5 linked regions of the Rattus norvegicus genome follow. The protein of the gene in region 1 purifies or fractionates together with the protein of each later gene. This does not show direct contact. Links are inferred from orthologs where the notes say so. Each region holds a gene or a part of one and is shown in the gene's direction. Other genes may lie near its edges. The genes, in order: Bsg, Sympk, Vdac1, Atp2b4 and Gnpat.

Region 1 (6,518 bases):
GTTAGAGATGTCTGTAGGCTGCCCTGTGGGTGCTGGAGATAGACCCATCTGTCCTGGAAGAGCAGTCAGTACCCTTAAACAGCTGAACCATCTCTCCAGCCCCCTTCCGTGTGTGTTTTTGGTTGTTTGCTTTTTGACAGGGTCTCCTGTAGCCCAGGGTCCGCCTCGAACTGACTTTTTGCCAAAGGACACTGAGCTACTGGCTTCCAGTCACCAAGTGCTGGAATGACCGGTATGCACCGCCATTCTAGGCTTTCCACATCTTTATCTGCTAATCGGACTGGTCAGGGGACGTCAGGCGGCTGAGATGAAGTAGAGCTAAAGGGCTTCCGAAGGCTGTGGGCCATGTAGGGTCAGGGAAGACTCTAGAAAGCCAGGCCTGGGAGGGGGCGGGGCTTCACTGTGTAAGCACAGGGCAGGGCTTCCAGGCCAACCTGAAATTTCCCAGAGGCCCAAACAGGCAGGGGGTGAGGAATTCCAGCCCGCCCAACCTTGTTTGTTTTGACCCTAAGGGCCTTTGATGCCAGCTGGCCCTTCCCCTGCCCTAACCCTCATTCTGCACGTAGCTCGGAAAAGCCGTTCCATGGAGGCTTTAGGATTCTGGGTAGTTAGTGCTGAGGCCCCCAAGCCTCTGAGAGGCAACTGCTGCTGTGGGTAAGTGGATCACCAGGCTCATAGTGACTTTCTACTCGGTCCTGGCCCCTCTGACACCAAGCTTTGTACTGCTCCTGGACTGGCCTCTCGCTCCTGCCCATGGCTGTGTGTTTTGAGATATTCCCGAAGACCCTGGCATGGTGTGCACCCCCCCAAAGGAACTGCTGACCCTGGAAGCTGCTGCCAAACCCCTGCTTGCTCCCACCTCCCACTTTTATTTTTATTTATTTATTTGGATTTTCGAGACAGGGTTTCTCTGTGTAGCCCTGGCTGTCCTGGAACTCACTATATAAACTAGGCTGGGGGTTGGGGATTTAGCTCAGTGGTAGAGCGCTTGCCTAGCAATCGCAAGGCCCTGGGTTGTTCGGTCCCCAGCTCCGAAAAAAAGAAAAGGAAAACAAAAACAAAAACAAAAACAAAAAAAAACTAGGCTGGCCTCGAACTCACAGAGATCCGCTTGCCTCTGCCTCCCAAATGTGGGGATTAAGGCCTTCGATTTCAGCGACAGAGCCAGAAGCTGGCCTGGTATACAGAGTAAACTCCAAGCCAGCCAAGTCTACACAATGAGCACCTTTCTCAAGCAAACAAAACCCCCAAGTTGTGATACAATACAGGCCACAAAATCAGATTAAAACAACAAAAAGGCAAAAATAAAATTTAAAAATAAGTAAGACAAGCTACAGCTGGGAGACGGCTCAATTCTTTTTTTATATAAGATTTTTATTTATTTTATGTATGTAAGTACACAGCCGCTGTCTTGCTGTCTTCAGACACACCAGGAGAGGGTATCAGATCCCATTACAGATGGCTGTGAGCCACCATGTGGTTGCTGGGAATTGAACTCAGTCAGTGCTCTTTTTTTTTTTTTTCCTTGAGGGGATGGAACCCAGGACCTTGGGCTTCCTAGGCAAGCGCTCTACCACTGAGCCAAATCCCCAACCCCCAGTCAGTGCTCTTAATCACTGAACCATCTCGCCAGCCCAGAAAGATTCCACTACTGGCCCTTACAGAGATCAAACCCACTACCTTGGCGTTACTAGCCCCACACTCTAACCGAGCTAACCGGCCAGACATGGCTCAATTGTTAAAAGTGCCTGCTGCTTTTCCAGAGGACATTTCAGTTCTCAGCACCCACATCAGGCCCATAATACCAGCTCCAGGGGATCAGATGCCCACTTCTGGCCTCTGTGGCACATGCATTCATGTGGTACACACACACTGAGGGACATGCTTACAAATAAATGAATAAATAAATAAATAAATACTTTTTTGAGATAGGGGCTTACCACTTAGCCCAGGCTAGCCTAGAACTGGCTATGCAGACCAAGCTGGCCTCAAAACTCGGATATCTGCCTGCCTCTGCCTCCTGAGTGTTGGTATATAAAAGGCGTGTGCCACCACCAACCTGCTCAAATATAAGTTGTTTTGTTTTTTTTTTAATGAGCAGGAGAGTTGAGCGTCTTAGAGCAGGCATTTATCCCAGCACCCCGGAGGCAGAGGCAAGTGGCTCTTTGAGTTCGAGGCCAGTGTGGTCTACAGAGTAAGTTTCAAGACAGCCAGGGCAGCACAGAGAGGGAGGGAGGGAGCGAGGGAGAGGGTGAGAAAGCGCGAACGAGGGGAGAGCGCGCCCGCGAGCACAGAGGCAGTCCAGGCCGCAGGCCCCGCCCCTTTGAGGGTGTGGTCGTATGATCACGTGCCAACGCTTCCCCACCCGCTCCGCTTCTGTAGTGCGAGCCTGAGCGGCGGACGCTGGATACGTGCCTGCTCGCTGTGCGCCTGGCGCCCCGCCCCGCGACGCCGCGTGCGTACGTGCTGCGTGCGCGCGCCCCACCCTTCTTATAGAGCCGCAGTGGGGCTGCTCTTGGACGAGGCGACATGGCGGCGGCGCTGCTGCTGGCGCTGGCCTTCACGTTCCTGAGTGGCCAAGGCGCCTGCGCGGCGGGTAAGAACGGGGTGCTGGGACCGGGCTGGGGTCACGGACCTAAGGTGAGCCACAGATTTCGGGGACTTGGTGTAGGGAACCACGGCTTTGGTTCCCTACTCGGGCTCGGGGCTGGAGATTTGTGGAGGAGTAACAGTGCCTGTGGATGACCCTCGAATTGACCCCAGACCTCGACTGAGCGACGAGGTGGAGGGGGATGATTTTAGAGATGAGGCCCTGGAGAGACAAATCAAAGACTAGATCTCTGGGGGAGACATCCTAAGGTTATGGGAACTGGAGGTGGAAGGAACCGCCCGCCACCTTGCGGTAGTCCCCACCTGGACATGGCTGGAAGGTAATCTAGAGGACTTGGAGTAGAGAAGTGTGAGTGGAAATGACCCCAGATTTTGGCTAGCTGGAGATGAAAGGAGCCGCTGCCTTAACTGTCCCAACTCCCGGAATAAGGCTGGGAGGTGACCCGGGAGGTTTGGGGATACAATGACTATAATTGGCTTAGGTTTGGGGGAGTTAGGGAAGTGTGGGAGGAGGTGACCCTGAAGCTGGAAGATAGATTCTGGGGCAACATCTCCAAGGTTGAGTAGGGGCGTCCAGGGTCGAAGAGCTATTATCTTGACCATATTGATGTCTCCACCTGGGTAACAGGGCTGGGAAGCAACCCTGGAGATTGAATTCCTCCTGGTGTTGGGGCCTGAGGATAAAAGAAGCCACCATGTTGAGGATTCCTCCACCTGAGAGACAGGGCTGGAAAGTAATCATGGGCAGGAGGGAATTGCAGGATATCTGGGAGAGATTTGTGGGACCTGGGTGGTGGACAGCAGTGTTTCGGGTGGCTTTCTCCAGGTTTGGAGAGATCTGGCAGCCGAGGAAGCTGCCACCTTGGGGAGTTCCCAAATTTGGAAAACCTGGGAGTCGATGGATCTGCAATCTTGGTGTATCCACTCTGGGAACAGGGTGGGAGTCACAGTCCCTAAATTAGGAGGGCATCGAGTTAGAGAGACCTGCCACTTTAGTGTTACCTGGGTTCCTGAAAGGCTGTCTCCAAGGTTTGGGGCTACTAGGGGGACTAGAGTGGGAGGAGCTATCATTTCAGTGTGTCCATGCTTGGGGGACCATGTGGGGAGGTGGTTCAGGAGATTTGGGATACAGAAGTGCCTGGCAGGAGGGCCACAAGTTTGGGAATGTGGGTGGGAGTGAGGTGGCTAGAAATTTGGTGATGTGAGGATGGAGAAAGGATTGGGAGACAACCTTGGGGTGGAGGAAGTTGCCAGTTGCTGACCTCAAGGCTTGGAAGATGTGGTTTGGAAGGGGGATGAGCGGTGAGCCTGTGGGCTTCTTGGGGTATAGAGGTGCCTGGGAGTGATGTGTCCTAGGCTTGGCGGGCTGCCTGGGATCACACATGGAGGGTGGGTGGGGAGTTTCTGAGTGGCAGTTCCCCTCCCTAGGTTTGGAGGAGTCTCAGTCAGATGTCCCCAGCAGTCCCTGCCCTCCTTGGGGTGAGCTTGCAGGCTCTCCATACTCCACAGGGGCTGTATCAGACGACCCTGGCAATGACCCTAGCAAAGGAAGGAGATGGAGGTCCCCTCTGGGCTGGGACCAGAACTTGAGGCTGCGCCCATCTGTTCTAGGACTGGTCAGGGACTTACCTGGGAGTGAGGACTGTGGATTATCGTTCTTGATGGGATTTCCACTGGCCAGGGCCCAGCACATTCAGCTTGCTCCCAGCATGGAGTTTGGCCCATTCTGGCCTTAGGTCCTTGCCTGATTGAGGCTCAAAAGGGCACGGGGCCTAGGTGGGGAAAGGTAGGTATTCAAGGTCATGGCAAGGTTGAGTGTGGAAAGGCGGTGTGGTAGGCCTGGAACACATGGGCTGCTCTCTGCTTGCCCCAGACAGCAGGCCAAGGGCAGAAGCAGAGCTCCACTGGAGAAGTGGGCCACTGACCACTGCCCCATCAGCAGCAGGTACAGGAGGGGGCTGTGCCAGGCAGCAGAGCCTGGGGTCAATCCTGACCCGCCTTTTCTGGACCCTCTTCCTTACCATCAAAGCATCTTGAGGTGCTCCCATGAGGCTGGCTCTTGGGTACAGGTAACTGTCCCCTGGCAAGATGGAAGCAGTTGATTTATTCTGTCCTGGGTAGGAAAACACAGTGGCTTTCTGTCTGGGGTTCAGCGGACCTTTGCACTGCCGGGAGCCAAGCACAGAATGTAGCTTACGGGCAGGTCCTAGCCCTTCCTGGGAACAGAGCCACAGCCTACAGCCTGGGCAGGGCCCAGGTCAAGCTGTAATGTGTCATTTCCCACTGTACAGTGGGGGTGGGGGTTCTGCTCAGAGGTCAACCCTGTGGCATAGACACTTAAGGTTTCCTTGTTGCGTGAGCCTGGAATTTGATGCTGGGTCCCTTACATGCTGGTCTAAGCACTCCACACCCCAGTTTCACATGCTTTCTCTGTGTAAGTGACCAGGTTAGCCTCAGACACTCACTGCAGGGTGTTGCCCCAGCGGTTACCCAGATCTGATTTAACCCTAATTCCTCAGGTGTCTGACATGGTGAGAGAGGTGATAAGGCAGCAGTCTAGGTCAGCACTGGATGGCAGGAGACTAGGTGTGGGCCCGCCCTCCAGAACAGCGCCCCCTCCCCTCCCTGCACCCTGTGGTGCTGACTTGTTTACCCAGTGCCTCAGACTGGCCCTGCTCTCACCTGGCTTGAGTAGGCAGGAAGGAAGGTAACTGAGGCAGGCGACAGGCTGGAAGCTAAAGACCCTGTTGAGGCTTCTAAGGTTGGGATCGCAGTTAATGGTCACCCCTAAGCAGTGCTAGTGAGGCTCTGTGTGGAAAGGTCAGCAGGAGATGCCAGGGCAGCCTGCATTCCTGAGACCAGATCATGGGTGGCCTGGCATGTTAGTCTCGTGGTCCTTGGAACATGACGGTGTTGTCCTAGATGTACGACACCCATGGTGTAGTGTCTCTTCAGAAACCCCACTGGAGTTGGGGCTGCCCTGTACCTGTATTTGCTGACAGCCCTAGATGAAGTGGTGTTGATTCAGACGTCCTGTAGCAGTAGACAGAGAAGGGGACTGAGGGAAGGGCGCTGCTGTGACCTTCTCCTGACAGCCTACCACCAGCCAGGAACTGCAGGTTGGGCAGTCTGGAAGATCTCGAATGTAGGTTACCAGGAAACCATTCTCTACCGAAGCAGCTGTGTCATTCAGACCCCTGAAGCTTTGGGGCAAGTGCTTACCTCAGCCCCCACCCCCAATGCAGGGCCTGAGGCCCTAAACTTAATACTTGTACCTTCAGATAACAACCACGCCTTGTGTAGGCATGCAAAGACCTGCCCTCCCCTGGGACATGTGTTTGGGGCAGGCATACAAGTCTGAGTGTCCCAGGCCCTTATGTAATGCTGAAGGCCCTATTTTAATTTGTCATGTAGCCCATCTGGCTGGAACTCATAGCAATCCTCCTGCATGCATAGGCCTCCTGAGTGGTGGAATTATAGGCGAGCTGCCATGGCGCCCACTGTATTTTCTAGACACACTTAGTGTATGCGTGCGTACATTAGCTGTGCACAGGTCCTTCACCACATGGGTCTTGGGTTGAACTGGCTTGGTGGTCAACATTTTTACCCAGCCCTTTGTGTTTTTTGTGCCTAACTTCATACTTCTCCCTGCAAGCAGAAAAGAAATGGAGTTCGTTGTGTTGTGTTGGTGCCTGTGGCAGGCCCTAGCAGTTGTAGTAATGGGTGCTAACCCTTTCCTGTAGCTGGCTTTCTCAAGGCGCCAATGTCCCAGGAGCAGTGGGCGGGGGGCAGCGTGGTCCTGCACTGTGAGGCTGTGGGCAGCCCCATGCCGGAGATCCAGTGGTGGTTTGAAGGGAATGAACCAAACGACAGCTGCTCCCAGCTCTGGGATGGCGCCCGGCTGGACC
Region 2 (4,824 bases), on another chromosome or scaffold:
TTAGAAAGAGGTGATCCAGGCCCTGCCTAAGCTCATCAAACTCAACCCCATTGTGGTGAAGGAGGTCTTCAACCGCCTGCTAGGCACCCAGCATGGTAGGTGCCTTCCCTCCTAGCCAACCTTCAGCTTACCTCCTAACTGTACAGGGGCTCACGTGGGAAGGGCCCAGGAAGGCTACAGTGTTCTTAAAGACCAGTGTCTCTGTTGTCCACCATGGTGAGAAACAAATAAAAATGTTTGAGGTGGAAAAATAGCCAGAGATGTACATGGGTTTCTCATCCCTGGCCCTTGTGGCCACCTAGAGACGTAGTAGCAGGATGACGTGGCTCCATGGCACATCGGGTCTCCCCTCCGCTAACAGGAGGCCACCTCTGCTAAGTGCATCCTTTTCTACTCTGTCCCAACACAGCATGGAGTTCAGGCCACTTTGTTGTTCAGTGAGCCGGGCCCTGTCCTAACCCAACCCAGCCTGTAGCTGCCATGATCATGTGCTGTGTGGAGTCAGTCCTAGGCCAGCTGGTCCCTGCCTGCATCCTGGGTGTACAGCCCCGTGCACAGAGGGGACAGTGGCGCCACAGCAAGGCAGCTCTAAAAGGTGGTGAAGACTTGAGGCCACTTTGCCCAGTATACTGTCCCCCAGGCCAAGAAGCAGAGAAGGCCTCACTTGTATTTGCCCAAGGCTGGTCTTTGGCCCAGTTCTTTGCTGAGGTCCTGTCCTGTCTCCTTCTCTTGTCGGCACCATTGCAGGTGAGGGGAACTCTGCCCTGTCCCCCCTGAATCCGGGAGAGCTGCTGATTGCATTGCACAATATTGACTCTGTAAAGTGTGACATGAAGTCCATCATCAAAGGTGAGGCACCCCTGTTTCCACAGGACCCAGCTCCCACAGACAGGCCGGGCTTGTCACCCACATGGCTCTACTGCATCAAAGACTGGCCTGATGCCTGACCTGTCCCATCCTGATCGCCACACAAAGCACATAGACACATGTGCCCCGGCATCAGGTGGTCCTCGGGAGTGCAGGCTGCCCCTCTTTTCACCTACCCTGAGGAACTCAAGGAAGCAAGGAGGAACAGGGCTTCTGCAGACATGAGCAAGCGCAGGCCCAAGCTGAGGCAGCAGAGGATTCCATAGTGGGGCTTGGTGATGTACTGGCAGGCTTCCTCTGCCCAAGCATTGCCTGTGAGCTAGGCTTTCCCTTCATGCTACAAGCCCACTCCTGCCACCCACATCTGGTAAGTATGCTCAGATAGGGCATGGAGTTCCCAAAAGCTAAATCAGTTGTCAGGGTCACACAGTCTGAGCCAAACTGGAGCCAAACCAAGAAGGGCTCTGCTCATGAACCTCTCCTGGGAAGAAATCACCATCTTCCCTCCTTTCTTCCCTCCCTTAGAGACTGGGCCATCCAGAATCAGTTCTGTCCCCAGAAGGGCCCTGCCTGTTATCCTACCATTTAACCTGTCTGCTCACTTTAGCGTGGCTTCCTCTCTGTCCCCACCTGAAGTGCTTCTTCAGGGGTTGCTTTCCTAGCCTCCCTTAGCAGCCTCACAGAACAGGGCTGGGAAGGCAAGGCAGAGGGGGCTGCAGGGGAAGGGAGGAGGGGTGTAGTGGACTGCAGGCGCGCGTGCACACACACACACACACACACACACACACACACACACACACACACACACACACACATTTTCACCACGCTGGGAATGAACATAGAACAGCCTCCCATGTGCTAGGTAAGTGCTCTGTCTCCATCCACACACTTGCTTCTTGATCCTTAAATGCAGTGTGAGTAACTGACCCCATAGCAGCCTATTCCCAAGGGCAGTTTGCGCACAATTTGAAGGGATTTGGAAAGACACAGCCATCTTGGACCTAGAATAGAAATCTAGTCACAGAGAGGGAAGAAAAGGCCCTGCCAAAAGCTACCCAGGTGCACACTCCGGTAGCTTCTTTGGGAATTCTTGTCAGTTCACAATCCCCAGGCTTCCTAGGCCCTAGCACTCCACAGCTCTCACCACATCTCCTCCGTCTGCCCCATCAGGTGAAATCCTGGCCTTCTTGGATCCCAGCACAATGCTGGGGACACACTGGGACACTGACAGTTGACCCAGCCTGGCCAGGGCTCAGGAAGGGCTTTGTGAAGTGGGGTTACCTCCAGCAAGCAGATGCAATAGACGAGGTGATAGCTGAGCCTGTCAGATCTAGGGCTGAGCAGAGGGTTCCAAGTGAGGGAGGAAACTGGCCTTGGCCTCATGCAGCCTCTGGGCGGAGGACAGGCTGGCCTTTCGGAGACTCTTGGGCTGCTGGAGGGAAAGGCGAGAGGTTGAGTGGGAAGCACAGGCTGGGTAGACAGACCGGTGTCGGGCCCATTTGGACCGCAGTGGACATTTCTCCACAGCAGCGGGCGCCCCCTCAGGCTCTGGCAGGCCTCTCTCCTCTGCCCTTCAGCCCTGTGTCTGCTGCAAGGTCCCTCCTTTCTCTTTAGGCCTCCTCTTTACAGGATCATCCTTCCCTCCATTGGCTTCTCAGGGATTGGGAGGGCAGGCGGGCTTTCTTCTGGCTCAATAAAGACTTCCTGGTTGACACACTCACATGGCCAGTGGTGTTTGGGGAAGGACTTCAGAGGCAGCTCCCGGGACCATACCTCAACCCAGTTGACCTTGACACTACCCCTGCCACTCACTCCCAGGAGCTAGACCCCAAGCAAGACCTGCTCCATGCTTTCTTCAGTGTGACATCTTTCCACAACCTGTGAGGACCTGGCTTGGGTTGGGCCCTCCCCCCACCTCTTATCCCTCCCTTGCCTGTTACCCTTGTAGCGTCCCTCATGGTACTTGCTTTACACCATCACAGACCCTAATGACTGGTCAGCCGTCTGGCAGAGACCCACCTCTATTCTGAGGGTTCTAGAGGTGTTGGCAGCACTCCCTCCCTCGCCTTAGTGGGTTACAGCCACTCATAGGCCCCAGGGTGCAGCAGCATACTCTGCCCTATTCCCAGGGCTTGTCCCCAGAAGAGGCCGTGTCCTCCAGATTGGTCCACCAGGGGTTGGACACACCTACCTCCGCCTTCTAGGGCAGGGTCATTAAGCATCCTCATAAAGGGCCCTGTGTGGTAGAGGTAGAGAAGCTTGGGGAGTGGGGTTCCCACTTAATGAGGGACATCCAGGCAGAGAGAGGACAGGCCACTCTCCGCCTCCTCACAGCCACCAACCTGTGTTTTGCGGAGCGGAATGTGTACACATCGGAAGTGCTGGCTGTGGTGATGCAGCAGCTGATGGAGCAAAGCCCTCTGCCCATGCTGCTCATGCGGACCGTCATCCAGTCCCTGACCATGTACCCCCGCCTGGGGGGCTTCGTCATGAACATCCTGGCCCGGCTCATCATGAAGCAGGTAACCTGCCCTGGCCCCAGGCACTCAGCCACTCAGCCACAAGGGGACAAACCTCAGATGCCTGGAAGGCAGGATCTATCCCTGGACCGCCTGTCCTGCTAGCAGTGTTCCCTCACCACTCCCTGCAGCTGGCTACAGGGTGACCATTGAGAGCAGTTAGGGATATGAGAGGTGTGGGTACCTCCCTTTACCCTACTCTAGGCACTGCAGGGCACACAGCTCAGCTCAAAGCTTCCCATCTTGGAGGAGACTAGAATTAGGTTGGGTTGTTTTGCTATGTAGCCCAGAGTAACCATAACTCAAATTTGTGATGATCCTCTTGCCTGAGCCCTCCAAGTGCTGGGATTGCGAGCATGCCGCACCAACTCTTAGAAATACCGTGGAAATGGTAATTAAATCCATCCTCCATACCAGGCTGGGGTCGGACCACAGGCTGTCCCTGTGCAGCATCTGGCAAAGGTCCCGTGCCTCCAGCCTATTAAGTGTGGCCGATGGCACCTGCCAGAGGTGGTTATGAAAACAACACGAAGTGGTGCTGTCCTAACCTAGGGACTGGAGGCAGGGTCTCCTTCCTTCCCTGTGTCTTGTCCTGATAGTTTACTGGGTAGGCAGGTGTGTGAAGCCTGGAGTAAGGTGTCATATGACAGCATATGGGTCCTGGTCATGGCAGTGTCTTCAGGAAGGTGGTGGCTGGTTGGGCCTGTGCCTAATGGCCCCCTCCTGCCCCACAGGTATGGAAGTACCCCAAGGTATGGGAGGGCTTCATCAAGTGCTGCCAGCGCACCAAGCCCCAGAGTTTCCAGGTCATCCTGCAGCTACCTCCACAGCAGCTTGGCGCAGTCTTTGACAAGTGCCCTGAGCTCCGGGAGCCACTGTTGGCCCATGTGCGCTCCTTCACCCCCCACCAGGTACCTGGGTGGGAGAGTGGAGCCAAGTGAGCAGAAGGGCTCTGGAAGGTTTGGTTCTGGGTACTGGGTTGCTGAGAGGTGCCTCTGGCAAGAGCGCTCTACAGCCCTGGCTCCCACCTTTCCCTTCACCTAGCAAGCACACATCCCCAACTCCATCATGACAATCCTGGAGGCCAGTGGCAAGCAGGAGCCGGAAGTCAAGGAAGCACCTTCAGGGTCCCTGGAAGAGGTGAGGGCAATGTGGCCTGTGCGTCTCGCCCCAGAAGGCCTGGTCATTAAACCCACAGTCTCCCAGGATTTCTTCCCTGGTAAAGGAGCATGGCCACCCACCCCACACCCTCTGTACCAGGATGGAAAGTCTGTGCGGTGTGCTCTCTCCTCTGCTTTCAGCAGCGTTCAGTGCTCAGCTTCCTCCACCCTAATGCGCGGTAGCGGTGAGGTGGGGTGTGATGTTAGGTTTGATGTACCCTTCCTGAGCTGAGTGCCTCTCCCACCCCAGGATGACCTGGAGCCCTTGGCTCTGGCCT
Region 3 (6,718 bases), on another chromosome or scaffold:
GGGAAATGGGCCCAAAGCCTCTTGCAACTGCACAGTTTTCTGCTTGCTTTTCTGCGCCAACAGAAATGCAAGCCTGCCAGGGGAGCTTGCAGGTTCCGGGACATCACCCTGCTGTTTCCCCAAGGTTTTTGGATTTCCTAATTCAAATCTGTAAGAACCCGACTGGCCAGGCTTGGATCAGGTTTTCTTTTGTCTCAGACCAATCAGCCAATCAGCTTTGGCAGGCACAGTGGAGGGGAGGCCGAGCAGAGTCCAGTTTTAAAAAAAAAAAAAAAGGGTGCCTTGCTTTTACCCCTCCCTAAAGGCTGTGACTGGGAGACTGGGAGGGATCAATGAATAATCTTTCTAGTGTACTTTGATTCCAATTCCAAGAACTCCCAGGTTCCCTCCCTGTTCTAGCTAATTTTCTTTGCCTTTCTTTTGTGGCTACTTCCTTGGATTTAAAATCTTCCCTTCTGGAAGGAAAGAGATTCCTAAAAGTCAGGAAGCTACCTTGCAGGCTCCCAGGTTCAGTCCCCAGTACCAGAAAGTAAAAAACAAAACAAAACAACAACAAAACACACAAAAACCCAAAAAAGCAGGAAGCTCTCGATGATATATATATATATGGCTTCGGAAGTTCAGCTATCAGACTCACGAGGCCCCTCTAAATAGTCAACAGCTAATGGAGAGGGGACTCTTGAACTTGTGCCCAGGTCCAGGGATACACACAGGTTTTGTGCGTTGGGAGCCGTTAGGGTGATCTTTTCAGCTACTTTGATTCACCTTGTAAATAACTTCAACACAATGGTTTGCCAAAGTAGACTTTGGGTAGAATTCTTTAGTCTGTCATCTGTGCTCTCTCTACAGCAAATAGCTGTCTATGTCTCCCCAGGGAACGTGACACAAGCCACTCACTGAGTCTTAGGTAAGAGCCTTACCACTCCGGTACATCTCCAGACCGTTTCATTCTAAACCAACACTGACACTCCCAGGGTGAGGTTCCGAGAAGCCAGATTTTCTGCTCACCCACGGACACACAGTCAAAAATGGCCCACAAGCTCTCTCGGTGATTGTAAACCCTACCCAGGGCAGCTGGGGAGGCCAGAGAAGGCTACTAGAACTCTTCAGGTACCTTAAAGGTACTTGGAGGATCTTGAACATTGGCTGTCTGCCTCACAGCTGGGCATCAGGGCTCAGGGCCAAGTGTAAGATTCTTGGAGACAAATCTTCCTCGTGTCCCCAGGTCTTGTCCTTCCAACTCTGCCTCCCTGTTGTGACTCAGCAGCTTTTGGTGCCTGGTTTTTAACTCTGGGAGTGGATTGGGTGTTTGTTACAGGGTAGGTGTGCAGACTTGAAAAGCTACGTAAAAACTGTGGTTCTTTGTAATGCAAAGCAAGCTCTAGGCCACCGAGCTTTGTGTCTGCCCACATCCTAGCCCGAAGGGCTTACCCTCATAGTCTAGATCTGGGCTTACGCCCGTTCCCCCAGCCCCCATCAGTTTCCTTCGTTCAGCCCACGGAACAGCATTTTAAATCTGGAGTGGCCGCCAGTGTCCCAGCTGTCTTATTCAGCACAGCAGGTTGTGAGCAACCACCTGACGTCTCCTCTTCTGGACCCCAAATGCCTTGATTCTCTTAGGACGTCTGTCAATTGAAGGCAAAGGGTGTGAAGTCTTCACTCACATGCGATTTCACAAATTCTCCAAGCCTGATTTGGGTTTGGCTTGGTGTGGCACACTGGGAGCCTCAGCAGGGAAGGAGGCCATGCGCTGATGAGACCAGGCTGGGAGAAAGTGACCGTCCGCTCTACACTGCAGGAGAGCAGACATCCAGAACCCGCGTGACCTCCTCATGTAGTGAGACTCCGCAGTCTCACGAAACTCACTTTGTCTTTTCTAATTTCTCAAATGCTTGGGAAATGGCGGAAAGCTGCTTCGACACCAGGGAAAATTGCACGCAAATGTGCAGTGCGGAGCCGGCCCTCGGGAGAGTTTAATTTGCAATTCACTCGCTGACGCACGCGGGCGTGTCGCAGGCTCCGGAAACCCAGTGTAGCGAGGTTGGAGCGCAGAGGACAGTAGCCGCTTTGCCCAATGCAGCGCCACCTTCGGAGCCCAGTGTGTCCCCACTGGGCCTCGGAGTGACTCGCGGCCTCGAGGCTGCGCAGGAGCCACAAGACTCCGGGCGACCCTATTCGCTGAGGTCCTTAGGCCACTGCTCACTGTGCCGGAAACTCCCCTCCCCCTCTTCTCAAATGCTTCCAGCAGCCTGGTGGCTCCAACAGTGACCCGCGTGTCCCCGCGCACGCACACACCTCACGCACGTCAGACCCACGCCTCCCTATCGCCCCGTGCCAAAGTGCACGCAGGCTTTTACGCGCGGTCGCACATGATCACAGAGCCGCAGATGGTGCGAACGCTGCTCCCGGGTGGGAAGAAGACCCCGGGACTGGTCTGGGCGCTGTCCGGGGTGGAGCCGAGGGCGGAGCTTGGAGTCCGGGCGCGCAGAGCTGGGGCGTGTCCGCGCCGTCGCGATCTGCGCCGCCCCGCCCTCGGCCCGTTCCCTGCGCTCCCAGCCTCCTCGCCGCAACCCCCGCCGTAGCTGCCGCTGCTCTCGCCGTCACCGCCTCCGAGGTAGGCGCAGCGGAGAGGGCCCGGGCTATGCCTGGGTCCCCAGGGCCTCGGGCCGCGCTCCTGGGGAGTCTCTAGGGAGGCGATCGAGGGAGGATCGGGCGAGGGCGCCGGGCCTAGGAGCTTAGCCCCGGGAAGGGTGAACCAGGGACGATCATCGCGGGCCTGGAGAGGCAGCGGGCTTGTAGAGGAGGCCTGGAGGGCAGGCGTAGAGCGGATCTCCGGAGGGAGAGATCCTAGCTCGATCTTTCAGAGCGCCTGCATTTGGAAGCGAGGGGCTATCCGAACATGCGAGGGGCGGAAGGGCAAGGGCGGCCGCGTGGAGGCCGGGCGGGCCGCGGGTCTAGGTGACCTTTCCCGGCGGCGCCCTCTGGCTCTAGATCCGGTCGGCATGGATCTGGTAGAGACCCTCCCACGGCCCAAGCCCTTCCCCGCCAGCTCCGAGGGCCTGTGCAGACCCAGCTTCCTTCGCCGAGAGGACGCGCTCCAGGCATGGCCATGCCCTGGATCCCCTGGCCCCTACATGCCTTAACCGGCCCACGCCCGGAGTAGGTGGCGCCGGGTCCCTCCCGTGCATGCTAGTGCCTTCCCGGGCGGAACGGGCTGCCCTGAGTGGACTTAGGCCGCAGGAACAGGGACCTGGGCCTGGACTGAAAGCGAGACCCCATAGGGAGCCATATGCCTGGCCTCCTTGGCCTTAGGGACGGATTCCGTGTTCTGTGTCGCCAAATGCAACTGTGCATTCTGGAAACTGTTTTCAGGGCCTGACATCAGATTGGAGGCCTGCAATTCTACATGGTTTGTCCAAGGTCACACTGGTAGGAAGATCTCAAACTTCAATCTTCTCATCTGCGAAATAGGAGCAATTATATACACTTCACTGAGTTTGGGGGAAGAATAAAATGATCCGATTAATACGAAGCCTTGGGTCATGCACAAGGACACCTTAGAAACCTTGACACTTACCCTAGGAGTCGTAGGAGCTTTGGGGAGGGTTGAACTCAACCTCTGCAGACCTTCCCCCCCCCCCTTTTTTTTGGTTCCACACGGTGTACTGGAAGGGATTCCCTAAATCTACAGTCGTGTTATTTTAACGCCATTGTTACCGTGTCTGTAACAAGCATTTGGGCAGCACCAGGTACTGAATAACTGGAGAATAATTCACCAAACACTGTCTGTTTTCAGACTGACAGCCGTTAAGCTGGAACACTAAATCTGACTGCAGACCCAGAAGATCCAAGGCTCCTCTTTCCTTGACCAGACAGATGAGTGAGGGGCTTTACTCAGTCTTGTTTAATAGTAAGCCAGGCATAGCTACTGAAGGCCTGCCTGTTTTTCTCCAGACTGACAAAACTCTAGGGCCAACTCAGGCTTACCTTTAGGGTCTTGGGTGGGACCACTTGGCACACATTAGGTGGCTAAGAAAGGTCTGTGGGGTAAATTCACTTAAAAAAATGTCTACTTAATGTGTGTGGGTTTTTTTTGCCTTTGTGAGTTTATATATATATATGCAGGTGAACTCAGCCCAGAAGAGGGTGTTGGCTCCTCTGAACTGGAGTTATAGGCAGTTGTGAGCTGTCGCACGTGGGTCTGGGAATTAACTACCAGGTATGGTGGGTGCACATTAAATCGTGGGATCTTAAACACCCATTTGATGACGTAGACCGCTCACTGACTTCTGGAAGCTCTCCTGGCCTAGCAGAGTCAGATATTATAAGAGCTACGACAGTACACGCTCATCTACAGCAGGAATCACGAGGGACGAGAAGCAGCTCCTTTGACATTCTACAACATCCCGAGTCCTCAGGGAACTTGTCAGACTGGTGTTTCTGGGCTTGAAGCTAGAGTGATATGGGTGAATGGGATTCGAGCCAAGGCCTTGGGCCTGTTGTGCTCTCCCCTTTCTGACAAGGTTGTGTGGGTATGACAGCTAGAGTAAGGTGCCTGGCCCCAGTGGTAGTCGAGGGTGCTCACAGGTGATTTGTTTTAGTTCTGATTTCCAGAATGAGGCTTTTTAGACAGGGGTTGTTTGGGACCATGTGGTCCTCATGCTGAAGCTGAGGCAGGTGGAGACTCTGGACTCTTGAGCTGGTGGTAGTAAGGGCTTGCCCCCCCACCCTCCCACCCCCTCATCACTTTGCTCTCTGAGGACCTTTGCTGTTGCTGGAAATCCCCACAGTATGACAGACACCTTCAGTGGTAGTGACTGAGGGAAACATGTGGCCAAAGTGAGGAGGGTAGCCCCTAGGATTCCAGAAAGGTTGTTGTACTGTGTGTGGGGCTTTGTGCTTTCCCCAGGTTCCTGTGGTAGATGGATGGTCTCCATCCCACTGTTAAGTCACAGCATGTGAGCACTTTACTTAGAGCTGAGCTAGAAAAAGTTCCAGAAGGGCAGCCTGGGCTCTCAGTGCTGATCTGACTGACAAGAGCCACAGAGGCTAGCTCAGATGAAGTAGCTTTCTTGTGTCTTAGTTTCTCTGTTATACCGTGGTGGGGTTTTGTTTTAAAGAATTAAATGTTTGGAGGTGGATAGCTCATGTGGAGGTCAGAGGGCAACTTCTGGGCCTCCACCCAGGCCTTGGGATCACCTGGGTCTGCTGTAGAAAGGTGACTGTCATCGCTGGCCATCCTGGTGTTCTGTAGCCCTGCTGGGTGTACTTGGCGCTTAGGCACAAGTTCTCTGCTAGTATCCCCCACACTTCACTGCTGCTGCTTTGAGGAACCCATAGGTGTGAGTGCCCCTGTAAAGCAGAAGTTACTGACTGGTTGGGAATGGAGAGAGGTACACTGCTGCAGGCCGTCTGTAGGGGCAGTGCTTGCAGGAATCGTTTTCCCTGGGGCGAGATGGGAGGTGTTCTTCCAGGACCTGGCCAGATAGTATCTAACTAAACAATACCTCTTTATGGGTGGGGAGGACTCTGGACCCTGTGGTTCAGATTGAGCCTTTAACAAGATGCTCAGAAACCATTATTATAATAGTAAATATACAAAAGGAGAGCTTGGTTTGCTCCCTAGCCATATGGCAACAGAAACTGTCTATTGGACTGGCTCATATGGGACTTAGAATGCAAGCCCAGCATGCAGGAAGCCCTGGGTTTGACCTTCAACACCGGGGAAACTCAGTGTGATGGGGTGTACACTCAGAGGTGGAGGCAGGAGGATCAAATTCAAAGTTATCCTCGGTGACATAGTGAGCTTGAGACTCACTATGGGCTACATTAGATCCTGTTTCAAAACAAAAACAAACCAGCCGTGGTGCATACCTTTAATCCTGGCACTTGGGGGCAGTGGCAGAGGGGGTGGTGGTGGGTAGAGGCAGACAGAGCTCTGTGAGTTTGAGGCCAGCCTGGTTTACAGAGTTTCAGAACAGCCAGGGCTACACAGAGGAACCCTGTCTCGAAAAACCAACCAACCAAAGAAACCAAACCCATTATTTATCCGTCTGCTCATCTCAATCGATAAGTCGAGCTGTCATCTGTCATCTTAACAACTCTACTTACGTTTGTTTCATGCCTTCCGCGTGTACCAGCCACAGTATTCAGTGCTGTGTGCCGAGGGAAAATGGGGTTAGAGAGAGTGACTTGGGGTCTTTTACCTAGAAAGGGAGTAGGACAGAGGTGCTTGATTCCCAAGGCTGAGCACTTGAAGTGCTGACTGTGTCAACCCCCTGTGCCTTGTGATGGCTCTTGAGGTGCCTGTGGCTTTGCTGGAGCCCTAGTGTGCCTGGCTGGACCCTGTACCCCGGAGTGCTGGCTGCCAGCATAGCCTTCTCTCCACAGGTGGGTGAGTGAGAGGCCAGGCCGCCCTGAGTCAACCACAATCTCCCCAGCCTTGTGGAAGGCTGTGCTGCCTGCCGCTGGTGGCCCAGCTTCCAGAGTGTTTTAAAATAGAAACAGAGCCTGGAAAGCCAGGCTGCCCCCCTGTGAGACTCTGTGGAGGGGGGAGGGGAAGGCAGCTGCTTTGGGAGCTCAGCCTGCTTCCAGAGCAGAGGGCCATCGCCTTGCTAGCATCTGGAACCAGGGACTGTTCCCTGAGCTGCCTTTGCTTGGAAAGAAAGTGGTGTGTGTGTGTGTGTGTGTGTGTGTGTGTGTGTGTGTCTGTCTGTCT
Region 4 (5,918 bases), on another chromosome or scaffold:
TCTCTACTCCTGCCAGACCATGCATTTAATCACTGTCATAATACCCATATCGACCGCATGAATCCCGTTTGAAGCGTTCTGTAAAGATCTTATCTGTTGCCTTTCTCCGTGTCTGCAGTTCTTGCCTGTTTCACAAGAAAATTAGGACTTGCTCCCCAAGGGCCCTGCAGGGGGTGCTGTGGCCCTAGCCACCATGGAGACCTTGGCTGGTGGAAGGCCGACGCCTGGTGGCGGGCTGTCCTTTGCTCTGTTTCAGATCTTGATCGTGGAAGTGGGAGGTAAGCCCTTCAGCTGCACAAACCTCACCATGGAGCAGTGGATGTGGTGTCTCTTTATAGGGATCGGAGAACTTTTGTGGGGCCAGGTGAGTGTGGTGTGCCCTCGACAGATCACCAAGGCTGCAGATCTCTCCTCTCTGAATGAGAGGGACAAGTGGCTAGATCCCAGGTCCCTGTTTTACCTGACCCCTCCCTCCCTTCCCCTCCTTCGCAGTTTCAAGCTCCTTCTGTCTTGGGGCGTCAGGTTGGAGTAAACCATTGCCTTCACTTCAGGGACATTAGGTTCTCTGCCCAAACCTAGAGACTGGGGGGGGGGGGGCTTTTTGAAACAAAAGTGGAAATTTTCCATTAAAGGATCTTTAAAAATAAAAATAAAAAAGCAGACGTCACACTGCCGCTGCCTGACCCAGGGCTGCTGTGCTGCTATAGCTCTGAGCTTTCCCGCCTCTCCTTTGCTTCATGGTGGCTGTTTGAAGCCCAGCTCCCACATGAGATAAATCAGTTCTACTAATGCTCCGGGGGGGGGGGGGGAGATCAGCACAGCCTCTGGAAACAGCTGGGCTGGAATTACCCTTCTTCTCACAAACGGAGCAGCCATGGGCAAGTTACTTGTATTTTTTGTTGTTGTTGTTAAGATTTATTTATTTATTATATATGAGTACACTGTAGCTGTCTTCAGACACACCAGAAGAGGGCATCAGATCTCATTACAGATGGTTGTGAGCCACCATGTGGTTGCTGGGAATTGAACTCAGGACCTCTGGGAGAGCAGTCAGTGCTCTTAACCACTGAGCCATCTCTCTCCAGTCCCCCATGAACAAGTAAGTTACTTAACCACTCTGTCTATCGGGGACCTCCACATAGGATAACAAAGTGACCACTAATTGTTGCTAACTAGTAAACTGTTACTATTCCAAAACTATGGCAACACCTGTCATAAGTGCTCTATGAGTGTTAATATTAATTACAACGATGACATCATTGCTTCAAGGTTCATCCTTCCCTAACACCATGCTTAGTCCTGGCCTGGGCTGTTCTCTGCAAATCCCAAGTCTGTACTGAGAACCCCCTAGTGTCCCTTCACAAGCTAAAAATGGGGTTAAGGAAGGGATGAAACTCTTAGGTAATTGTGTTCCAATTCAGTGTTTCAGTCCCTCAGCTATGTGTCCCTCCCCCAGCTTGGTTTGCCCTAGGCCCCACTTCTTCCTGATGTGTGTCTGCTTTGTAGTTCTGTTCTGTTGTCTTAAAAAGACAAGGACCGCAGTGGGAAGGAAGAGCCAAGACAGAGACAGAGTGTGAGGCACGTGTGGCTGGGGAATTACGGGAATCAAGTCCCCTTCTGTGTGTCCACGAATGCTGGTTCCTTCCCAAGTACCATCAACCGGAACAACGGGCTAACCTGGGCAGACTGGTGCTTCTTGGTGCTGTCCAGATGGGAAAGACTTGTGGCTTAGGATCCTCCCAGGGGCCTGGCTCAGGCTTGCTAATGTCTTTTCTTCTCTGATGTGGCTGTTGGCCCCTTTGGCTGTAACTGCTCTCAGGTCATCTCTGCAATACCTACCAAGTCTCTAAAGTTCCTGAAAGAGGCGGGCCATGGCAGTGACAAAGAGGAGATCAGCAAGGACGCTGAGGGGCTGGAAGAGATCGACCATGCCGAGATGGAGCTTCGCCGAGGCCAGATCCTCTGGGTCCGTGGCCTGAACCGGATTCAGACTCAGGTACTCTGTGGTGGCTTGTCCTTACCCTGGGAGAAGAAATCTCCCCATCCTGGGAAAGGGTAGGAGAGCAGTAATTCCTGGCACTTTACACCTTTACCCCTTTGTGACGCTCACTGCTGAAGGGTGACCTGTGTTCCTTAACTTCAGGGCCAACAGGGCCAGAGGTCTCTGGGGGATTCTTCTAGGGGGAAGAGTCAACAGACTGGACCATGGGCCACAATTCACAGAGTTCCTCAGCCGTGGTTAAGCCCTACAGCCCCAACCCCGTACCCCCAGGTTTGTCAGTGGAGCTGTCTTCCCACCTAAGGTCCATTCCAGCACCAGACTTGACCCCAAGATAGGGACCGTGTAGTCCCTTCCCTGCCCTGAAGGAAGATGATTTTCTAAAACTGGAAGGAAAAGCCAGCATCCCTGGCAGTCACTAGGCATGCCCGTCATGCTGCTGTTGTGGGGAGAGCTGTTATTTGGGGAGGTCTTTGTTAAAGAGGCTCCCCTTCTTTCTTTATTCCGCCTTGATGCAAGTCCTCTCTGGGGAATCTGATGATTAAGTAGCTATAAACAGCAGTCTTTCAGTGCCTAATATTTTTGGAAGGATTCAGACTTGTTCCCAATAAGGGAATTTCTGAAACGGAGTACAAGTGAGTACCCTGCTTGCAGCCCTAACCATACCCTCCCCCCGCCCGCCCCCACACTCTCCATGCACCTTCAGGGTGAAGCTGACTGGCCTTGGCAGTAATAACGCTTTTTCTCTGCTCCAACCCCTCAACCTTTTATTGTTTTAGTCCCAAAATCCTGAACAAACCATCAGTCCCGAGATCTTAAGGGGACTCTCCTGAGCAAGGCCTGTTTCTTCCTCCTAGTTGGCAAGAGATCAAAATATTTCATTTTCAAAATTTGGCCTTTGGCTGGCTTAGAAAACCGCCTGGCTAGCCTCCCCCCATTTCCTTCCCCTTCCCCTCTAGTGTACAGGGAAGACAAATGAATTCGCAGTTTAAGCTACTTACCTGGTAGGCACTGTCCTCCTCTGGGGAAGATACCAGGCAGAAAAATGAGCAAGATGCAGTTAGAAACCCTGGGCTCCTTTCCTCACTCTCCTAGGAAGGGAACTGTATCATGGCCTACATATACCACCTCATGATATCAAGTCCCCACCTCCGCTGAGTCCCTTGGGTGCCTGTAAACCTTGACTCCCATCTCTAAAGCCCCTGTTGCTGTCCTTCAGGTCTACTCCTTTCAAAATAACCTCATTTTGCTTTTCTTCCCTTCAGGATCACCCACCTCCTTTTCTACTGTATGACTGCTTTTTTTGTTTTGTTTTTTTGTTTTGTTTTGGTTTTTTGTTTTGTTTTGTTTTGGGGGGAGTGGTGTTTCTGGTTTTGGGTTTTTGTTTGTTTGTTTTTGGTTTTGTGTTTTTGTTTTTGTTTTTTTGTGTTTTTTTTAGCCAGGATCCCTCATTCTAGAGCCTCCTTCTTTCCAGTCTTCCTTCCTTCTGGGGAGCTGAGATTCATGGCCCTTCCTGTTCCTGCACTTCCAGTTAGCAGTCCCTCTCCATACCCCTCTGTTTGATCTCAAGGCACACATACCTTTAGGCATACACGTCCTCCCCTGCTAGAGCATAAGATAGATGGGCCAGATAGACTTTAAAGCCTAAACCTGAGACCAGCCCTGGCGGTACACATCTACGACCTCAGCATTCAGGAGTCTGAGGTGGAAGGATTCCTAGTTCCAGGCCAGCCTGGGCTGTGTAGCTAGATCCTACCTCAAAACCAAACAAACAAAAGCCTAAACTCAGGCTCCAATGGCAGCCTATTAAAGATGCCACTGACAGGATCCATCCATGCCATTGTGACTGGCACCTAACTGAGCAAGTAAGACTGAGCGTACTCACTGCATCTTCCGTGTCCAAAGCCCTCCCACCCCCATCAGTTGTTGGGTCTCAGGAACCCTTCCTGTCTGGCTGCTGGTCCCCAATGCAACCTGTGGGGTGGGAGACATTGTCAAGCTACTGCCCAGTCCTGGCTGGGATTCCCCTTTCCCTGGTTCTAGGCCGTTCCTCCCCTTCACCTTTACCCTTTAGTTAGGGGGGAGGTAAAAGCACTAGAAAGCAAACATTTGAAGAATTAAAGTGCTGGACTCTCAGAACAGTAAACTCGCTTGCTCGGAATGCAGTTTCCTTGTGGAAGGTCAACCCTGTAACATTCTGAAGGCGCTTCTTCCTGGGACTGAAACCCCACCCAACCCCAGGGGCTGCCCTTACCTCCTGCAGCTCCAGCCTGCAGGCCACTGTAGCAGAAAAGTGCCTATGAGGGGAAGCAGTTTAGCTCACACTCTCTCCACCCTAAGCATTTCCTGGCTTCTCCAGAAGCTGTGTACAAGGACAGGCACCTGACTCAGGAGGCACCTGTCTCCTGGGGATGCAGTCACAGGATCTCAACAGATCTCTGAAAGATACAGGAATGCCTTTCTATCTGTTCCTTATTATGTAGGGGTCAAGGAAAAGGGTGGTAAATTGACTAACACCCCAGATCATTGCTACTGTGGGAAAGCGGTGATATGAATTGCCCCCATCCCTAAGAAGGAGCTGAAAGCCAGAGGGCTGCTCTGATAGGCAGGTGGGCGGAGAGCTGCAGCCTCCCAGCACCTCCAGCACCAGTCTGCCAGTGAAGGTCTCCAGTGCTTAAGTAATGCCATGAGTGCAGCTCTGTCTCGTGGACCACCAGAATCCTGAGCTCCACTGCAAGTAGAGGAAGCGTCAAGAAAGACACCTCCTCCACACCAAGGCACACAGGCTAGCAGTCTTCACCAAGGCCAACTCTGTGTGGACTACTACACTGCCCATTCTTCTCTACACACGTCTTTATTTCCTGGAAATTTTGCAAGCAAACAAACAAAAACAACAATTAGTTGACTTATTTGGTTTAGATGCTCCTGAGCCTTAAATTTTACTAACATATACTTTGTTTCTGGTATGTCAAATTGCATGCCTTGTTTTTTAAGAGTACAGGTCAACATAATGAAAAGGCTACCTGTCAGTGGTGGGGAGAAGTTCTTTTGCATTTTAAAGGCCTTTGGACACCTGTGCATCCGAGGCTACAGGGAAAAGAAAACTGAATCCTAGCTAGGCGTTTGGAAACCCATAGCAAATTTCTTTAAATGACGTGTGGTTTGCAATCGCTGCCCTCCCTACCCCACCCTTGCCTGTTGCTCTGGGTTTGAGGGAATATCTCTCTTGCTCTCCTACCCCTCTCCCCGGCCCTCCTGACCCTGCCTTCCCTCTTGCTTCTCTCTGACTGTGGAGCAAAGCTGTCTCACTCTCTGATTCTTTGCAGATTGAAGTAATTAACAAATTCCAGACGGGAGCCTCTTTTAAGGGAGTCCTAAGGCGACAGAACTTGAGTCAACAACTTGATGTAAAACTGGTTCCTAGCTCCTATTCAGAAGCAGTTGCGTCAGTCAGAACCTCCCCCTCCACCTCTTCTGCCGTTACACCTCCTCCTGTGGGCAGTGAGTGAGAGTATATTACAATGCATGATTTACTAAAGCGACCACAAGACAGCACGCGGCATCCACTTTAACCAACCGTGGTTACTTGTCCTTTTTTGGGTACACCCCCCACCCACCCACCCCTTTGACTTAAGGGAAGAAAAACCAGGCTGGATACACCTTTCGTTTTATTTATTTTTTTAATGTTGGGAAGTTATTAAACCTTACCTATTTTGAAGACGATAACCCGGTTTTCTGATTGGCCCTCTGCGTTGCTTGCTGCTTCTCTCTGATTGGCTCGCTGCATTGCTTGCTGCTTCTCTCTGATTGGCCCTCTGCATTGCTTGCTACTTCTCTCTGATTGGCCCTCTGCATTGCTTGCTGCTTCTCTCTGATTGGCCCTCTGCATTGCTTGCTGCTTCTCTCCTTGAGTTGTTTG
Region 5 (5,918 bases), on another chromosome or scaffold:
TTTCTTGAGTCTTAAGTTTGAGCTGTTACTTTATTAAGGAGAACTGTAAAGTTTAAGAAGACGTTCTAGTCTTACAAGCAAAAGCATGTGTTATGTTAGGCTACACTCAGCAACATGGCCAGATGCTAATGTGCTAATTATACGTCCTGCCTTTGGGGTAATTGTTACCATGCATAGATATGTAAGTACAGTGTGTGAGTGCACACGTAGTAGATGTGAATAGCAGGCAGAGAGGTCCTGTGCTGGTGTGAGTGAGTCTATGGGGAGTTCCAGGAGCCTCCTTAGGAATGATGCTAAGGTAGGTACAGGAAAGCAGCAGGGCCGTGCAGACTGATGCCTACATGTCAGAAGGATACCAGCATGGCTCCCTGTGGCCGCGGAGCACAGTGAGTTTACTTACCAGGAGTAACAGTGAGTGACTTGTTGACTTCAGCAGACAGGGCTGGACACAGCAGGTCTTCCCTCACTCTGAAAATGACCTTGGCCTTATTCTGAGTAGGTGGAACTTATTTAAGTATTTTAAAAAGCAAAGAGTAGCCTGTGTTTTGAGAAGTGTGCGGTGGCAGGCAGGAGGATGGGGTAGGGTACCATGTAAGCAAGGATGCCCTTGTGATTCTGAGTGCAGGCTGTGGGTAGCCTCATTGAGGGTGGGGCCTGCGGATGCTGAGTGGATTCCCTAGAGTCTAAAGGCCACAGTAAGGAGTCAGGAGGAATGATGCCCAAGGTGTGGGTGAGATGATGGTTAATAGTTGATTTCATGAGAATAATCAGGTTGTAGAGCCAAGCCAGACAGTGGGCAGGCTTTGGAGAAGTGTGGTGGGAAAGGGGCCAGCAGTGGATTTGGAAGCATGTCCCTGTTCTCAGCTGTGGCGGGGAAAGGGAAGTGACCCAGAGGGGGAGCATTTGTCTAGCCTACAGCCAAAGCCCAGGTCTCACCGGTAGCACCACAGAATCAGCCAAACAAAAGAAACCAAACAGCAACAAAATCCAGTGAAATAAGTGAGTGTGCCCAACGTTTGTGGAAGGCAGAGAGATGAAGCTTTCGAGGAGGAAACTCCCCAGGGGAAACTCCCCAGTTTAAACGTCATTGAATTGGAGGAAGGAGCTAGACTTTTTATTGCTGTTGATAAGAGAACACTGAATTCAATACCAAAGTCAGGAAATTTTAGAACCAAGGAAGGGAGAGAAGAATAGCAGATGCTGGCCCAGCCGCAGCAGAGGCACACACGGCATCCTGTGTGGTTGTCTTTAAGAACAGTTGTGAGTCATAGAATACAACCTGAGCGTGCCGCACTACAATTAATAAATGATTAAAGCAGGAAGCAGAAGTAACGGAAGGAGTGTAAAGGACAGAATCAGGTTGATGGACTCAGTGTGTGTCTGCTGGAGAGACAGGTAGGTCTCTGTGCTTAGGAGCAAGCATTCCTTAGAGTAGGCTCCACATTAGGGGATTACACATAGAGTTAGGCTTGTACTTTGCCTGCATTTTGTGAACTTTTAAGTAAGCCCAAATCATTTTGGTAACCAAAATGAAGATGTTATGAAACGTGGTAATTATATAATGACTAAGTTGTTTTAAAACAGTATTTACTATAAAGGAATACAGATAAAGAGGAAAGGTAAATTATACTTGGCATGACCCGTGTTTTGAATAAGACATACATGTTTCTGTAGCTGTCAGAGAAAAGTAACAAAAAAAGAAGCTACTTTTGGCTGCAGTGCTGTAGGTACTTCATGTTAACATGATGCCATAACCATGCATGGCAATCTGTCGGAAGCTACACATCCCACCAAGCTGTCTCTGCTTTTGGGAGCTGAGGGCCCGCAGTAGCCACCGTCTTGAGATTCCTGTGGGTGGATGACAGCTGTTCAGTTCGCAGTGGGGCTTCTTCTTCACCATGTCAGCTCTCACCGTGGACTGGGCATTTAGCAGCCGGCAGAGCTCACCATAGTCATCATCACCGCCACTATCCGTTACTTAGTCAGGAAAGCACTGTTGTGAGAGGGCCCTTCGCTCCGTGAAGGTGGAGTGAGGGTTTGGTGGGTGGCAACAGCTGGGCCCACAAACGCTGAGCAGGGGAGGTGCAGTGGACTCCTTGTTTTGAGACAGTCTGGTGTAGGCTGAGCTGGCCTTGAACCATGGTGGATTTTACCCGCCTCTGAAGGGCAAGGACTAGACAGACTTGAACCAGCACACCCGATTTAGCTTGGGGCTCTAATGTGTGCTTTATTTTTTTGAAGCTAAAGAGAGGCGGACAAATGAGTTTACAGAGCTAGCAGTCAGAAACATGGTGGTCAGGAGGCCGACTGCTCAATGGTGCGGTGCTTGTTAAGCATGTGAAAGGCCTCAGGTTCAGTCCCTGGTCCCACAAAACAAAACCATCCGTCCATCATTCCTGGGGGCGTAAAATCCCAGCACTTGGGAGGTAAGAAGTGGAGATGAAGATCAAGAGTTCAAGGTTTTCTTTTGGTACATAGAGAGTTCGAGGCTAGGCAAGGCTACATAAAGCCCTGTCTGATAATAACAAGTAATAATGGAGAACTGACTGTAGACAGTGATGTTGCCGGTTTTCCCTTGTCTGAGTCGAGTATTAGAACACTTGTGGTTGCCGCTCAGGTGTCACGTGGGGCAGAGTGAAGCCTTAGTAACCCTTCCTTTCCTTCTTCACAGAAAGACCTCAAAAAGTGGGATGAGTTTGAAGACCTGTTGGAGGAGAGGAGACAGGTCAGTGATTTCAAATTTGCAATGAAGTGCTACACACCACCCTTGTATAGAGGAATTACTCCCTGCAAGCCAAGTGATATCAAGTCCATCGTTCTCAATTCTGAAGAGATTAACTATGTCATTAAGCAGGTAAGAACAGTGTTCTTCAGGCACAGCCACCCTCCTCCAATGTAAGTGGGTCCGTCTGCTGCTTCCCTGAATTTACCTTATCATCTCAAGTGTACTTTTAGGTTAGCCACATGGCACTCAAATGTGTGCTGGAAGGCCAGCCGAGAAGTACCGTGGCACCAAATGCATGGCATATGATGAAACACAGCTTGCACTGAAGACCCCACAGCTTGAAGGTGCCAGTTAGTTATGAGCAGAGCTGATTTGGTGCAGGGAGCAGGGAGGGTTTGGGTTTAACCAGACCTGACAGAGGTCCAGGCTTTCCTAGTAGAGGGGGTAGTGAGAGATTTTAGCTAAACAGATCACGTCAGACCTGCACCTGAAAACTTTATGAGACGCCCCGAGGAAGCCTGTGCCTACATCTCACCCCTGTGTCAGCTGCATTCAAATCCTGCATCAGTAGCTTTTCAAGAAGCTGGGAGCCACATTTGTTTTCAGAACAGGAGGTCAGAGAGAAGGTTCACATAGAATGCTGCAAAGGTTCAGTTTGACCAGTGCAGAGGACAGAAACTGTGGTAAAATGCAGGGAGCTCCTGGGTGAGTGGGGCTCAGTGGGAGCTGCAAAGCCAGATGAAGGGCTTTGTCTGCAGTGCCATGCCCTCGGATGCTCACATGGGGTGTGCGTGCTCATGGGGTGCAGGAGCACTTCTCTGGTTTTACTTTAGATGTAGACCTTGACCCGTGCCTTTAATCCCTGTGCTTTGCTCAGACATCCATACCATGGAGATGCTGTTGGTTCGCTGTGCTTAGGCCTACTTCATGAGTGGAGACAAATTTCCTCATCGTTTCATATCAGGAACAGTACCCAAGGCATGGTTTGCAGAAAGTTAACTCCAGTTAGGCATGGCTGTGTTGGGATGGGGTGGGCTCTGGGAGACACCTCATCCTTACGTGAAACTAGGAGCTAGAGAGTGCTAAGGTCCAGGCTAGGTGTTACACACATGTGGTGGGACTGTTGCTTCTTGATCTAAGGTGAACAAGACGTAAGATTAAAGTCAGTGAGAAAGACACTGATTCCGTCTGACCCTGAGAGTCCCCCAGGGAAGCAGCACACTGCTTATTTTGTTTTGATTCAGTTCCTTTGCTGTGCTAGGAATGAAGTCCAGGGCTCTGCACAGGGTAGGCAGATGCCTACTACTGAGCTGCATCTCCAGTCGCATGCACAGGACTTTACTGTGCTGGTTTCCCTGTGCAGGAGAAGAGGCTGTAGCGCCCCCTGGGGCTCAGGCTGGTCTCAGGCCTCAGTTTCCACTCCTCCCGGACTTGCAGTAACCTTCTCCTCCATGTGTAAGAAGGTGTGTTCTTGACTAATGCACAGTACGTACACATGCCATAGCACGGCAGCTTATCATTATGAAGCATTGCATGCTGGGATAATTACTGGGTTCTGTCCTTGTAGGCTAGTGGTCTTGTAGGTTGCCAAACATTTGAGTCAGGTGAGCTAGGGGTCCATGACAGTTATGATGGCAAGTTTTCAACACTTGTCATCGTACAGAATTGCTCTCACCAATGTATGTGGTTAGTCATTGACAAAAGTGCTACTCAGTGGGGTTGGGGATTTAGCTCAGTGGTAGAGCACTTGCCTAGCAAGTGCAAGGCCCTGGGTTCGGTCCCCAGCTCCGGAAAAAAAAGAAAAGAAAAGAAAAAAAAAAAAGTGCTACTCAGTGTGTGACACCTGGCTGCTATAATCCCCTGGAGCCTAAGTTCCACAAGTCAATCATTTTGTAGCTCAGGTTGGTCCCAAGGTCTGGGGTTCTTCCGATGTTGGATTCCAGGCCTGAGTGACGACGTGGATTGGTTGGTTGCTTTTCCCTTGAACTTTCATCTCCCCATTGCTGTTCCTGCCCTGCAGTTGCTGTGGCTTCTCTTCTTCCCTCCCTCCTCCTCACCATTCCTTGGGTGGCTTGGGTTAACGTGGTTCTTTGTTTACGGGGTCACTGTTTGAGATAAGCTCTGAGGAAATGGAGGAGTGCACTGAGAAGCGGTGCTGTCCAGTACTCCTTCCTGGATCAAGTTTAGGGCAGATAAGGAGTAGACGAGGGATCCAGCAACATTGTTCTCTGTGTGTTGGCTCATGCGTGTATGTGCATCCGTGCCAGCGGTCAACCTTAGTTGCCATTTCTCAAGAGCCACGTGGATTCTTTTTGAATTTCTAGCCTTTAAACCTTCTTAAGTTGAATCATTTTTCACTGAACATAAGTGCTGTGTCCTTATGTCCTAGCAGTCGGTAGGCTGAGGTGGGAGGACGGTGAATTCAGGGTCAGCCTGTGTGCCATAACAAAGGAAAAAGTGCCGTGCATCATTTACTGTTAGTGAGCGGGTCAAGCCTTGTCCCGGAGAGCACGAGCTGTCTTGGACTTCCATCAGAGGTCAGAGGTCAGTCTGGAGTTGGTCGCAGTGTTCTGAGTGAAAGGAGCTCTGGCTTCTAGGTTTCAGACTCACCCTGCTCTGCCTTCCTTTCAGCTTTCCAGGGAGTCCCTGACGGGTGTGGATGTGCTCAGAGAAGAGGCCAATGAGATCCTGGAGGAAATGAGTCACAAACTGCGTATAGGAGCCATTCGGTTCTTTGCCTTTGTTCTGAGCAAAGTTTTTAAACAGATCTTCTCAAAGGTGTGTGTGAATGAAGAAGGCATTCAAAAGGTGAGGATTGCTGGTCTGGTGGTCTTGGCTTATCCTGTGGTATAATCCATTCTAGGATGTTTCCCTCGGACTGAGTGCTGAGGGTGGGTTGTCAGGCCCCACTGTGGGCCTAGGCGATATGTTGTCTGTGGCTTGTCCTTCCTAATGTCAGACCTACAGACTTCTAGCTTAGTCATGTAAGACTTACAGACCACTTAGTGTCACATGTTCACCGGTTACAGAGTACCAGCAGGATTTTCTCTGCTCGTGCAGATTCCTAGCCAGCATTTCCACTGTCCAGCTCCTATGCTGGTGGGATTTTTCCTGTAACCTACTCTCTTAGGATTTGGTGGTCAGGGTCAGCTTGGTGATGACACAAACAATAGACCTCGCTGCCAGCTCTTCA

Evidence for each region.
Region 2: the proteins of Bsg (region 1) and Sympk purify together in Homo sapiens (co-immunoprecipitation; 3 studies listed by BioGRID and IntAct, counting the BioPlex papers as one, with this or other methods). This does not show direct contact. The link is inferred for Rattus norvegicus from reciprocal best matches to the Homo sapiens genes BSG and SYMPK.
Region 3: the proteins of Bsg (region 1) and Vdac1 purify together in Homo sapiens (affinity purification with mass spectrometry; 3 studies listed by BioGRID, with this or other methods). This does not show direct contact. The link is inferred for Rattus norvegicus from reciprocal best matches to the Homo sapiens genes BSG and VDAC1.
Region 4: the proteins of Bsg (region 1) and Atp2b4 purify together in Homo sapiens (affinity purification with mass spectrometry; 3 studies listed by BioGRID and IntAct, counting the BioPlex papers as one, with this or other methods). This does not show direct contact. The link is inferred for Rattus norvegicus from reciprocal best matches to the Homo sapiens genes BSG and ATP2B4.
Region 5: the proteins of Bsg (region 1) and Gnpat purify together in Homo sapiens (affinity purification with mass spectrometry; 3 studies listed by BioGRID and IntAct, counting the BioPlex papers as one, with this or other methods). This does not show direct contact. The link is inferred for Rattus norvegicus from reciprocal best matches to the Homo sapiens genes BSG and GNPAT.

The regions. Positions count from the first base shown.
Region 1 is NC_086025.1:10,646,926-10,653,443, reverse strand, and holds the start of Bsg (basigin isoform 1 precursor), read left to right. Parts: upstream 1-2,438; 5' UTR 2,439-2,529; coding exon 2,530-2,596; exon of another isoform or gene 2,597-3,284; intron 3,285-4,239; exon of another isoform or gene 4,240-6,207; intron 6,208-6,353; coding exon 6,354-6,518.
Region 2 is NC_086019.1:87,823,252-87,828,075, forward strand, and holds part of Sympk (symplekin), read left to right. Parts: intron 1-4; coding exon 5-95; intron 96-747; coding exon 748-849; intron 850-3,201; coding exon 3,202-3,389; intron 3,390-4,120; coding exon 4,121-4,297; intron 4,298-4,430; coding exon 4,431-4,526; intron 4,527-4,796; coding exon 4,797-4,824. UniProt on the Homo sapiens protein: Scaffold protein that functions as a component of a multimolecular complex involved in histone mRNA 3'-end processing. Specific component of the tight junction (TJ) plaque, but might not be an exclusively junctional component. May have a house-keeping rule.
Region 3 is NC_086028.1:37,030,658-37,037,375, forward strand, and holds the start of Vdac1 (voltage-dependent anion-selective channel protein 1), read left to right. Parts: upstream 1-2,551; 5' UTR 2,552-2,614; intron 2,615-6,169; exon of another isoform or gene 6,170-6,718. UniProt on the Homo sapiens protein: Non-selective voltage-gated ion channel that mediates the transport of anions and cations through the mitochondrion outer membrane and plasma membrane.
Region 4 is NC_086031.1:47,715,953-47,721,870, reverse strand, and holds part of Atp2b4 (plasma membrane calcium-transporting ATPase 4), read left to right. Parts: intron 1-256; coding exon 257-364; intron 365-1,819; coding exon 1,820-1,996; intron 1,997-5,325; coding exon 5,326-5,500; intron 5,501-5,918. UniProt on the Homo sapiens protein: Calcium/calmodulin-regulated and magnesium-dependent enzyme that catalyzes the hydrolysis of ATP coupled with the transport of calcium out of the cell. By regulating sperm cell calcium homeostasis, may play a role in sperm motility.
Region 5 is NC_086037.1:69,724,581-69,730,498, forward strand, and holds part of Gnpat (dihydroxyacetone phosphate acyltransferase), read left to right. Parts: intron 1-2,671; coding exon 2,672-2,854; intron 2,855-3,121; exon of another isoform or gene 3,122-4,020; coding exon of another isoform or gene 4,021-4,188; intron 4,189-5,356; coding exon 5,357-5,533; intron 5,534-5,918. UniProt on the Homo sapiens protein: Dihydroxyacetonephosphate acyltransferase catalyzing the first step in the biosynthesis of plasmalogens, a subset of phospholipids that differ from other glycerolipids by having an alkyl chain attached through a vinyl ether linkage at the sn-1 position of the glycerol backbone, and which unique physical properties have an impact on various aspects of cell signaling and membrane biology.